Arabidopsis thaliana: one gene and its partner. The protein of the gene in region 2 purifies or fractionates together with the protein of the main gene of each other region. This does not show direct contact. Each region holds a gene or a part of one and is shown on either strand. Other genes may lie near its edges.

Region 1 (6,242 bases), on a different chromosome or scaffold from region 2:
TCTAAGACTGAGATATGGGTGACGAATAAGATTGATGACACCACCACCAAAGGAGCAGCAGTCTCTTGGACCAAGGTCCTAGCATTTGATTTAAGCCCTGATCTTCAATTATTTTCGGAGGAGGTAAATTTTTTGCTTGACGAGGATAAGAAAGTCGCTGTGTGTTGTGAGAGATGGTTGGAACCGCAAGAGCACCACAGGTACCAGTGCAGGAGAGAGTACAAGATCACCGACAAGATATACATTCTCGGGGAGGATAATAAAGTCGATGAAGTAGGTTCTGGAGAGGGAGAGGCTACAGATTCACTTGAAGGAATTTCGCAAGTTATTCTCAATTACGCTCCAAGTTTGGTCCAAATCGAGCAAGCCGGAGGAGGCAAAACAAAAAGAGGTGACGACTAAAACAACCTCTACATGTAATATTAGTTTTTTGTGTTTTTCTTAATTTATTTTTGTCATATTTTTTGAATAATCCCCTGATCGAGCGACCTGGAAGTAGAAGAGGCCCTTAAATTTTCTTGTTCATGTTCTTTGAATAATCCTTTGAACTGATATCTCAATAAGATTGTAATATTGTAGTTGTCCCTTGCTTGATTTACACACGGTTTTCTTTTTTTTTTAAGTTTTATGATCAAAACATGTCTGGTACAGTATATGTCTAGAGAACAAGTGTTGTGTCTAAAACTTCAACCATTTCTAATTCAATGACAAAAGTAACTCATGTTCGAAGCTCCGAGTTTCTTTTTCACCTAAGTTTCAAGTTGTACAAACAACTAGAAGTCATTATTACCCATTCGCATAAATCTAGCATATATTGGACCAAAACATAACCCACAAATTATTTAAAACCACAGCTAAGCTTGTGGTTTTTTTGGGGCATCCAAAGTTGAAACATATCAAATGTTTACTCATGATACTACACTCCTTGATTGTCGTTTAACCTAGTGTTATGCAAATATAAACGCACGCATATCAGCAAGAGATCCATAGAGTTTACTGCAGGGATTTTGACCAGCACTGCATCTTCCTCTCGTTTCAATTATGCATCCCCTGACATCAGCATGACAATCTAACAGTCAACCACAATTTAGTGGTGATCACATGGTTAAGCATGTGCCAATTACGTACCGTACCTTGTAGCTGTAAGAGCGGGTGCCTGCACCTTGGGAATCTGGATGTTTTCTTATGTAATCTACTGCTTCACCTCTGTATGTCTGCTACCACAGTTCCCACCTACAATCTTATATATGCATTTTCCTTCAATACTCCCATTTTCACCAGTATCCTCAAGCAAACTGCATGAAGAGGGTTTCCAATTATCTCAGAGGTGATCAAACAACAACTTCATCAAATTCTAGACGTTGGCTTGAAGGCTATTCTTAAGTTTGTTATCTCAAGTTCCCTCCTTGTATTCCACCAGAACAGTTTGTCTTTCTACTCAAATTTGATGGAGATTAGGTATTTACAGACTTCTTCTTAAACCCTAACTTTGTTTGTTCTACTCAAACAATTTGAGTTCCACTCAAGAGGTTATATATAATGAGGTAAAAACAACTTATCCACATCGATAACACAAAGTAAACCCGAGAGAAAAAACGAGACACTGACGCAATAATGACACAGACCAGAAGAGAGTTTTTTAGTTGTTTTTAAATTAAGATACTCCTACACGACATTGTACTTGCAAATCCAGAATGATCACACCATAATGCTTTGTTCAGACGTACTCGTTGACTCGAAAGGCTGTCACTTTCAAAACGAAATCTCTGGTTCTGAGCAGCTCAAACACACAGACGTCTCCTTCTCCTAAGTTGTTCTCTAGAGTGAATTCGTACCATCCTTGACTGAATTTGGCTCTCCCGGCTTTGTAGAGACATCGAACAGGCCATTGTTTCTCCGCAAGCTGGACTTTGATGAACCCGGAGATCCCACTTAGGTACTTCTCAGCAAACCCAGAAGGAAGATACTGTTGAGAGAAACAGAAACAGAAGGCTTCTTTTAGAGATCAGTGAAGACACCGATAAGATTAAGTCTTCCTAAGATGTTTTTTTATTACCATGATGCAACCTCTGTATAGATAGGATGGTCGCAGAACCACTCTGAAGAAAGGGTTTGTTGGTTCGAACGTTTTGGCTGCATTGATGGCTCTCTCTCTTTCTTCTGCAGTCACGGTTCTCTTTCTCGCAGAAGCACTCTCGTAGAACTTTGAACGGTTCTCTGGATCATCATCTCGCGGAGCTGATGAGTTTATTTCCTCTGTAAGGACAATATCAAAAGGATATATGTATCATGAGGAAGAATCTGTGAATCCTCTGAAAACGAGTCTGAAGCATTTCAAAGAGGAAAAGTGCTTACCAGGATCAGCATTTTTCTTCTTCCTCCCTCTCTTTTTAGGTATTTTTGGGGTTGGCGTTGGCTCTTCAGCTGGAGATAAGGAAAATATCAAGCATCAACCTCAAAAGAATGATAAGACGCGTAATCAGCGATAGATAAAGGGAATCAGTTGGTTATAAATATCACCTTTAACTGGTCCAGTGAACAAGGTTTGGATGGCTGAACTAGCATACCCTTTGTTGGCTGGTACTGTAGACTCAGGAAGTGGTGATGGGTACACAGAAGAAGGAAAGATGACCTCGGCATCTTCATCTTCAAGGTCTTCAAACAAACGGGCGCGTTTGAAGTGGTTGTGAGCGGAATCCATGAGACCGGTGGAATGGTAATTGATCTCAGAGTGGGATAAATTGAAAATGTAGACGCTGAAGGCAGAGTTTCCTTCATATCTAAAAATCAAAAGATAACCAATGCGAATGGAGTAACGGTCAACAAACTCTTGCCAACCATCTTGAAACCAAATTTTGTTGTCAGCTTTCCTTAGTCCTACACGCCAAACATGACCATCAGGTACTGTGAGTGCAACAGCAACCGAAAGCTCATCCTTGAATTTACTCACAAACTTATCTGGGACCCTCTGCACAAGCATGCCGGTATGAGATATAAAGAAGCATATAATGATATAAATGTCCACAATATCTATAAGAACAGCACAGAATATTGCGAGAACATCAAATCGAAACAGACATTTTTCAGCAAAAACATCCAATAAACACAGTAGCTGAAGAAACGACGGCTTTACCTAATTTAAAAACACAAACCAAAAGGCCATATTTCAGTTTAGAGAAGGCATCAACAAGGAGACACAGTCCATTAGTACACATGTAAAATGGTACATTTATCTCTGAATAGATTGATTACACGACTCCTATGATCTTATCACATTAATAATTTGCAAACTTGGTTCCACATAAATGCCTGTGTTAATCGAAATCATTATTCCAGAGAAAATCTAGTCACTTAAATGCCAAATGGAGAGCTAAGCAAATTTGGATTTGTTCAAAACAATGCTCTTGGGGGAATCTGTACAAGTGATGACTAATCACTGTATCAAATAAAGTAGACAACTTTAAAACATAAGCACAATACATAGAGACCTTCAAAACAAGTCAACTACTCAGTTTTAGGGATTCACTCACAAGCCACACAATACTCAATAAGGAGTCTAAGATCTCAGACATTCCTAAGTCAAACAGAGAAAACAGTCAAAATAGAGTAAACAAAACAGACATTTATAATAGAGAAACCATAAACAGATCTCAACTTTTTCTCCTCAGAAGAAATTTGATCAATCTGACAGAATCAAATCGTCCTCCAAAAGTCAAATCACTCAAAAAAAAAAAAAAAATTCCCAAACTACACACAATATGCTGTCAGAGTACAGATATACCATCAAATACCCAATTTCCCACCAAACACAACCAATGACCAAAAGAAACTGTCTTGCAGACTTCCATTGGAAACCCACAAATTCTCATTTGACCAATAAGACAACACAAAGTTCAAAAATGGAACTTCTTTTCATTACCCAAAACAGGGAAGAGTAAGAAGATAAAAGCACAACCTTGACTCGATTCTTACAAAGAATCAATACAAGTGAATTGTAAGAAATCAAGCAAGAGTGTCACAAGGCATAATCTTACAAACTCGTTCACCAGATTCCAAACCTTGAAAACCCTCAATTTCGCACAAAATCAAAACTTTGAAAGATGAGGAGAAGGAGAACAGAGAGAGAGAGAGAGAGAGAGAGTAAGTTACCAGACGTTTTTCTTGGATAGTGGATGAGAAAATCAACTTATGGAAGAAAGGGCGTGGCATGTTCAGACACAACAGTGACGAAGTAAGAAAAAATAGAAGAAGAAGAAGAAGAAGAGAAGACCAGAGAGTCAGATCATGAAACGACGACGGAGAATAAAAGGACAAAGAGACTAAGAGAGAAGAAGAACCCTTTCAGATCTGAAGGAGTTTTGTTGTGTTAAAAAAGTTCATTAGATTTTAGTCAAAGGGGTTACAACACAACAATCTCTCTTTTCTTTCTTTCTTTTTTACACACCTGACCTGAAGAGTGACCCAACCAAACCCAAGAAGATGAAAAAATTAAAAAAAAAAAAAAAAAACCAACTTGTCATAAAACGAAGCTCGAGCGAGTTGAATCTGTGTTAGCTCGGTAGACTCGTTGAGTCGAATCGGTAGGTCACTCGTGTGGTTTCTTTTATTAACTAATCAAAAGCCGACCGCCCCCACCTACTCCCCTTTTTCGACCATCTTTTTTTTTCTTAACAAATATTTCTTTTTTGTAACACGCAATATCTCAGAAAATATATTATTGCCTTATAACAACAAATATATTTGATACTGTTATATATACGTCCTTATTTGCAAACAGATCATACCGTTCCGGAAAATCTCAATTTTATTTAGAACATATAAAAACACTTGTAAACTAGTGTACCGTGAAGCCTATAGACAAATATAGGTGGAAAGGAAAACAAAACTGGTCTCCAAAAGAAAAGTCTTATCATAAACTCATGCCCACAGTATTAATGGTATGTATATACTTAGAGAATGACAAGTTAAAACATGTATAGAGAAATCCAAATACAACATGTATAATCGATTGCAACATGTACGTATATTCATGGCTACCTCACATGCATAAAGTTTTATGTATTTCTTGTATAAATCTAGCTACAGTTAATAGTTATACTTAAGAATAAATAGCCTATGCATACACACTTAAATCCAAAAAGAAGTTTAACCTCTCTAATGTATGTTTAGTATACTATTATTTCTCCTTAGAATATTGGAACTTGACTTGTAGTTAATTAGTTTGGGCTAACCGTTGGCCATCATTGGTCATAACATTATGTTTAAATGGATTCCAATTTATAGTCAGAGAGCCTTGGTTCTGTCTTCTGACAGTATCCTTATGAGCTGTAAGAAAATAAAGGGGTAAACGTAAACATTCCTCTTTTCACCAGTTCGCGTGCATTTTAGAAATTCTTGATGCCTAATTAAAAATTACAAAGCAACAAACTCGCTGATTTTTAAAAATAGAATCCAAAAGTAGATCCAATATCGCATGCATGTCCAAAAGCATTTTATTCAAGCATAATGAAGGAAATTGCATCGTAATTCATACATAAATTATTCAACGGTATGAAAATGTAGATAGAATCATAGAAAAGCAAAACATGTGTGTATATATGTATCACAGTAGAAAAAATAATTTGAATAATCAAGCTCTGAAGTGATTAATATGAATGTAACGTATCGTCAATTTGAAGTTTGTTGAAACACATTAGCTAGTATTCTTTGTATCTAAGCAGGTTTTGTCGGTTTATAAACTTCCTCTAATGGCTTAATCTTGGCTTCTTGTGACGGGCTGAAGAAGAATGATATTGAAAATCTCATTTGAATAACTCATTAACTTGTATGTTTACCACCACTCTGTGCTTGTGTATTCGTGGGTTAAGTTGGTGTTTTAGAAGATTTGTTAAATCTTTGAACCGTGGCAAGTTGAAGGCAATCACGTGATTTGTTTGGATGTATATTTTGTCTTTTGACAACGCATTTATCAACTTTTCAGATCGGTTTATTATTTAGGATTAACAAATGTAAAACACTGATATATATACACTAATGATAAATATTTGATGAGAATTTTTCTTAAATCCCAATTCGAATTTTAAACATGTGAAATTAAGAACTATCGCATTTATCAACATTAGGTCAGTCTACGTATATTTGGAAATGAAAAATGACGAAGATCGCAAATGACACAACATTCTGATGACCGTTTATTTTAAACATAAACATGTAAAATCTCGCGTGCATTTTGGGAAATATGA
Region 2 (5,831 bases):
TCATCTTCGTCGGAGCTGCCTCCGTAGTAGCCAACTTCAGCTGATTCTTCGAAGAACTGAAGAACCTCAGGGTTTTTGCGCTTCTTAATCCTCAAACCTTCATCTCTGAATTCGACGGAGTTTTTCCTTTTCTGTCCGCCGGAATACGAATCACTACCGGCGACCTGTTTACCCTTTCCCTTGCGATCCATCGTCTTCTTCACGGTTAGTTTAGGGCTTTCACAATTGCATTTCTTTTGAGAGACAAGTAGCAGAGAGAGTGAAGAAAACGTTTATAGATGTGATTGTTTTCCGACTTTTGAGTGGCTTTTTTTTTTACTCTTTACTCTTTTAAGGCCTTTTTATTATCCAATCGATTTGGACTCTTTATTGTTTTAATTAATTTCTCAACTTTTCTTTTGTCTCTACAATAATATTCTGCTTCGTTTTATTTGCCTATTTGGTAATAGATTGAACTTATAGGAAAAAACGAAAATTTTGACAATATGAAGCAATATGTACAGTATACAAAACAATAAATCAAAATTTTAGAATAACATGCGGATGCCTAAGACACTCGTCTCTTGTACATTGATGATGAAACTAAAAAGGCTAGTTATGTGTGCAAGGTTTAACATTGACTGACGAAGCTCAAAAGTCATGTTATGGTCCAAAACAAACCAAAAATAATAAAGGATCAAAATACAAAGCTAAACAGGTCCGCAAACTAATCATATATAAATAAAAAAGACAAGTCTTTTACACCTATAACGCTTACAGAGATATTCATTACCACAAGCAACACACACGACTGAGTGTATAGAGCTCTAACCAAGCATCATTCTCACTTTCTTTCATTAATGTGTCTTAATAACGGTCAAAAGTGGACGACGACGGATAAGCTCCACCACCACCACTTCTGCTCGGTCTCTCATAAGGAGCACCGGCTCTGCTTCTAAACCCTCTTCCCTCCTCTCCTCCTCCACGGATGGGACCACCAGCTCTACCACCACCGTACCTGTCACTGCCTGCACTCGGGGCTATGTCTCTCTCAAAGGACCGAGCTTTGTCATAGCTCCCTGGAGGATAACGGTCTGATCCACGGCTGTATCTATCACCACCTGCAAACCGATCAGCCGGGGCTGCATACCTGTAAAATCACAGATAAGAATAAAGTTATGTAAGAAAAGCAAGTCACTTTGATAACCTTACAATAATCTGAGTTGCATTAGAAACTTGATTCTAACCTGTCACTGGCGTATCGATCACGGGGTATGTAGGCTTCTCTGCTGTCAAACCTGTCTCTAGCACCATAGCGTGCAGCACCGTCGTATCGATCATCTATGTATCGTTCGCGGTCCACATAGCGGTCACGGTCAGCATAGCGGTCAACACGTCCATCAGATCCTCCATACGCACTAGCACGTGAAGAAAAACCACCAACAGGTCCTCCACGACCACCACCAGCAGAAGGACAATCACGGGCCCAGTGCCCAACCCGTCCACACTTGAAGCATTCATCTTCACCAACACGCCCACCTCCACCTCCACCTCCACCAAAGCTTCCTTTTCCAGCAATCGAGTAGCCACTGTCTCTGCCACCTCTAGAGCCATGACTTTCTCCATCATCTCGCCCCAGTTTTGGTTCAGCTCTGTTCACTGAGATGACCCGATCACCAAAGTCCCTTCCATGCATCTCTCTGATGGACTCATCCATAGCGCGGCGATCAGCAAAAGTGATAAACCCGAATCCACGTGAACGACCAGTATCTCTTTCCAGCATGATCTATACACAATACACCATAAAAGCTGATTTCCCAAAGATATATGCATACGTGTAGCTAAAAGTGAGCAGAAGGGCAGTAGTAAAATGAAACGATTGCAAAATCTGAAAGATCATATCAAGCCCATGTGACATCAAGAAACACCCAACCGTTTTAAGGTTCACTGCATAACACTGTGACCCTGCTTTGTGTAGTAAATAGTCAATCAACCTCAACTTCAGAGCAAAACACAGTACAGATCCCCAGAAACTGAATCAACTTTAAAGTAAGTCTCCAATCTCAAGCAGAGGTAGCAGAAAGCACTAACAACTTTTTCTCAGTTCAAAATGAAAAATTCCTCAATTTAAGCCCTTAGATAGTATACTAGTTCATCCCTATTCTCAACAGCCATGTGATGTAGTTGCAAAACTAAAGAGAGGAAGGTTTACAGAGAAGGAAGTCAGTTAATTAGCTGTACTCAAAATTACTGATCAAACATCTGTTTCTACTCAATATGCAGATATCATCTGACATTGATCCAGCTGAAGTCATTCAGATTCACTGGAGCTGACGATTCTTTACATAGCACCACAACCCACAGATCAGAAATACAGAATTCCTCTCACACAAAGAGCTTTATCAGGTTTCAGAAACTTCCGGAAAAGATAAGCACAGAGAACTGGGGTTGGTGGATATAGAAAATGTGTGGCCCAGGCACAAGAATCATTTTAATTGGCTTGCATTAGAAAATTAGGAAATTTGTAAGACTGAAAAAGAAGAACAGAGAAAGGAAAAGATCAAATCCATGTAACTCCTACTAGCCACACATGGCAGGAGAAGCGAGATGAGGTAAAGCAAACAGCCCACAAGAAAGACAAGTAGGAAATCTGGATAAGAAAAGGATCACCGAAACCTTGAGATCTCTGCTTCAACTGAGTGTAATTTTCCGTTCTGCAGGTTCATACTACGCTGAAGAATCCAAACTGCTTGCACTGATGCTCAGGGTATGAGGAGAAAACGAAATCTTGCGGCAAGACAACTGAATGTAGACTGGGATTATCCAGAAATATGACTACACAACGTAACTACTGCAAGGAGTTCCTAAATATCTTCACCACCTGAAGAAGAACTGAGACTCTGGCCTAAACTGGGTAGCATCTCGAATTGACCACTCAAAACCAAATCAGGTATCCCAGGCCAGCAAACAAACATTTAATTACTAGTAAGAGCAGTAACAAGGAACATTATCAGGAAGTAAACCAAAACCCAGTCACGGCATACTTAGAGAACTCAAGAATTACACATCTCAATCATGAGTTACGAAAAAACAGTCATCCCTCCAGAGCAAAATAAAGAATTTCCTTGATGATAGAAGAAACTGAAGTAACCAGTTACGACAGTCCCAACCTTGTGAAACACATTCCAAAAGTGTGGAAATCAATTTGCTCAGAAACTCAAACACTACTGTATATCCTAAAATCTCAGGCAGTTTAATTCTTTATCACAGAGTAGTTTCTCAACTTGAACCATGTAGCTCTGATCAATATCATCCCTAATTCATCAATCTATAGTGTTTCAGTGATACATTACCAGCATCCAGGAAAAAAAAGAAAAAAGGGAAGATCAATAAGTGAAAAGAGGAATAATGCAAAGCAAGACTTTTCAACTAATCCTCAAACGTCTCTGTATTTCTGTATTATTAGTGTAATCTCATTTTTTCAAGTATATGTTTTCACGATCAGCTCAAGCAAATATACCACTTTCAACTTAAAACATTCCAAAAATATTCATAGACATGTTCAATTCTTATCACAAAGCTTTAGATAACAATCTCTAAATTTCATAGGACTAGTGCAGGCACAAGCTATGATAAACTCAAGGAATAAAAATAGTACCAACCTACACAGAGAAGAACAAAACATAGAACAAAAATTTCAAATTGGTACCTGACAATCGAGAATGTCTCCGAAGCGGCTAAAAGCTCTTTCAAGGTCTCTATCTGTCACTTCCGGCGATAAACCACCGACAAAAATCCTACTACCTTCTTTTGCAGCCATTTTCACTCGTCTATTCACAGAAAACAAAACAAATTGAGGTAAACGAACAAAAAAATCTCCAACGACTAAACTCGATATTAATTCTAGAATTACACGAATAGATTCATCTTACCTCTCTCTGAATCGTATTGTTTCCTTCGCCTCTCAAAATATCAATGGCACGAAGAAACCCTAAAATGGTGGTGGTTGAGGTACTACGCCACGAGAAAGGTACACTACAAGTGCCTAAAGGCTCTGATGATTAACAACAGAGGCCCAGACCTAGGCCCAAATTTCTCTATGGGCCCAAGTCATAAGTTTATTCTGTTAAGCTCATGGATCCACCAATGACCGACCAGAAAAATAAGTCTTTTCTTTTTTCTGTATACTATAAATACATCCTTTAAGCTTGTAATGAGGCAAAAAAAAAAACAATTATAATTGTAGTTGAGGGTTTTTCCCAATAAGATCTCTTGCCAATTTTTACTTGAAAATTTGAACATGCATATAAAAATTACATCGAATATGTTTTAGCTGATCAATATATATTGTTTAGCTTTACAATAAAATAAGATATCAGAAGCTTTATTCCACGTGAGATCCAAGTCACTATGTGTAGATGACCTAATCACGCATTACCTAGCTAATAAACTAACTTTAACCAGCCCACAGTTTTGGAGCAAAACAACCTATAGGATTTGTATATTTATCATCCTAAGACAGAACTCCGACTATCCTGGTACACATTCTTCATTTTTAAGTGTATTTGCACCTAGTAACAAAATTTCTAATGCAAATAAAAAAAACAGTAATGTAAATAGCACAATTTCTCTCTTCTTCTTTTTTTTCTAAAACGTACGTTTAAACAATTTTACTTTTCATTACAAGACGAATGAATTTTTGTAGCATAATAATTTTTATATATTTCCATACAAATCTTAGGGAGGTATGTGATGGTTTAAGATATCACATATTATTCCGGGCTTTACATGTGTGGCATTATGTATAAAACGGTGCCTTTGCAACATCATGTGGATAATTACTAGCTTAGAAGCATCCATGTTCCCATGTGGACAGATATGTACTTGACTTTACGGTCATTACTTAAGCAAGATGGTTAAATATGGCTTAAAATTTGGAGGTATACAAAATTTGTATGGCCAAAAGGCTTTATGAACGAATTCATAAACTGTAATTGTAGAAATAGTCATCCGCAAATGTACAAGGAAATCGGTTTTGTTTTTCTTTATAGGAAAATTTGTTAAACTAAGTTTCCTTTCGAATTACTAAAATGACTCTCAAGATTCGAGGGAAAGTTTTATAAGAAATGCATATAAGAAAGTTTAATTGTAATTAATACCACTTGGATTATTAATTTAATATAATGATCCAGTTGGTGCTTAAACATTTTTAAACCTAACCAATATTATTTTGTACATTTCGAGAGATTCCAACAAATTAAATAGGTCATATATGACATAGATCTATAATAGTATATACTGTTACACTTTGATTATTTGACCTAATATACCATCTATTTAATGTCATCAAAAAGTTACATCTAAAGATACAAAAAAAAATCATATACTAAATTTGTGTAAATAAGATTCTAAAGTATAAAATACAGAGAAATGGAATATAAAACCAAAAATATATATAATCTATGATAATGTGGACAGAGGCAAAGGTACCAGGTTGTCTGCCATGATATGGGTAGATAACTCATCTTCCCAAACAAAATAATTGTGTGCGAAGCTTTTTACTATTGACAAATTTTAATACTTTTAGGAAATTTTTGAGTATCTATAAATTTTGAATATATGGTTACAAAGAATTATAGATGCTAGGGTTTCAAGACGTATGTTCTAATATCCTAACCTTTTAGAAAACTAGTGGTGCACGAACCACATGTTAAAAACTTGATTTGATTATGTATATGACCAGGCAGTTATCGTAAATACATTTGAACGTAATTTCATAGTTAAGAGTTTGGAATAAAAATTACAGTCACAAGTGAAAGCCAACATTTTCGTTATATCTCAAGGCTTCTTTA

What was found.
Region 1: the proteins of AtRZ-1c (region 2) and VRN1 fractionate together in Arabidopsis thaliana (co-fractionation; one large-scale study listed by BioGRID). This does not show direct contact.

Annotation. Positions count from the first base shown.
Region 1 is NC_003074.8:6,547,360-6,553,601, forward strand, and holds VRN1 (AP2/B3-like transcriptional factor family protein), read right to left. Parts: upstream 4,676-6,242; 5' UTR 4,210-4,675; coding exon 4,150-4,209; intron 2,969-4,149; coding exon 2,521-2,968; intron 2,425-2,520; coding exon 2,356-2,424; intron 2,257-2,355; coding exon 2,057-2,256; intron 1,967-2,056; coding exon 1,728-1,966; coding exon of another isoform or gene 1,718-1,727; exon of another isoform or gene 1,406-1,717; intron 1,296-1,405; coding exon 1,193-1,295; 3' UTR 1,134-1,192; intron 1,051-1,133; 3' UTR 768-1,050; downstream 1-767. Other genes in the region: ETP1 (EIN2 targeting protein1), read left to right, coding at 1-402. UniProt on the Arabidopsis thaliana protein: Essential protein. Involved in the regulation of vernalization. Acts as a transcriptional repressor of FLC, a major target of the vernalization pathway. Binds DNA in vitro in a non-sequence-specific manner.
Region 2 is NC_003076.8:1,190,429-1,196,259, reverse strand, and holds AtRZ-1c (RNA-binding (RRM/RBD/RNP motifs) family protein with retrovirus zinc finger-like domain-containing protein), read right to left. Parts: upstream 4,002-5,831; 5' UTR 3,912-4,001; intron 3,810-3,911; 5' UTR 3,800-3,809; coding exon 3,689-3,799; exon of another isoform or gene 1,766-3,688; coding exon 1,227-1,765; intron 1,130-1,226; coding exon 847-1,129; 3' UTR 501-846; downstream 1-500. Other genes in the region: KTF1 (kow domain-containing transcription factor 1), read right to left, coding at 1-191.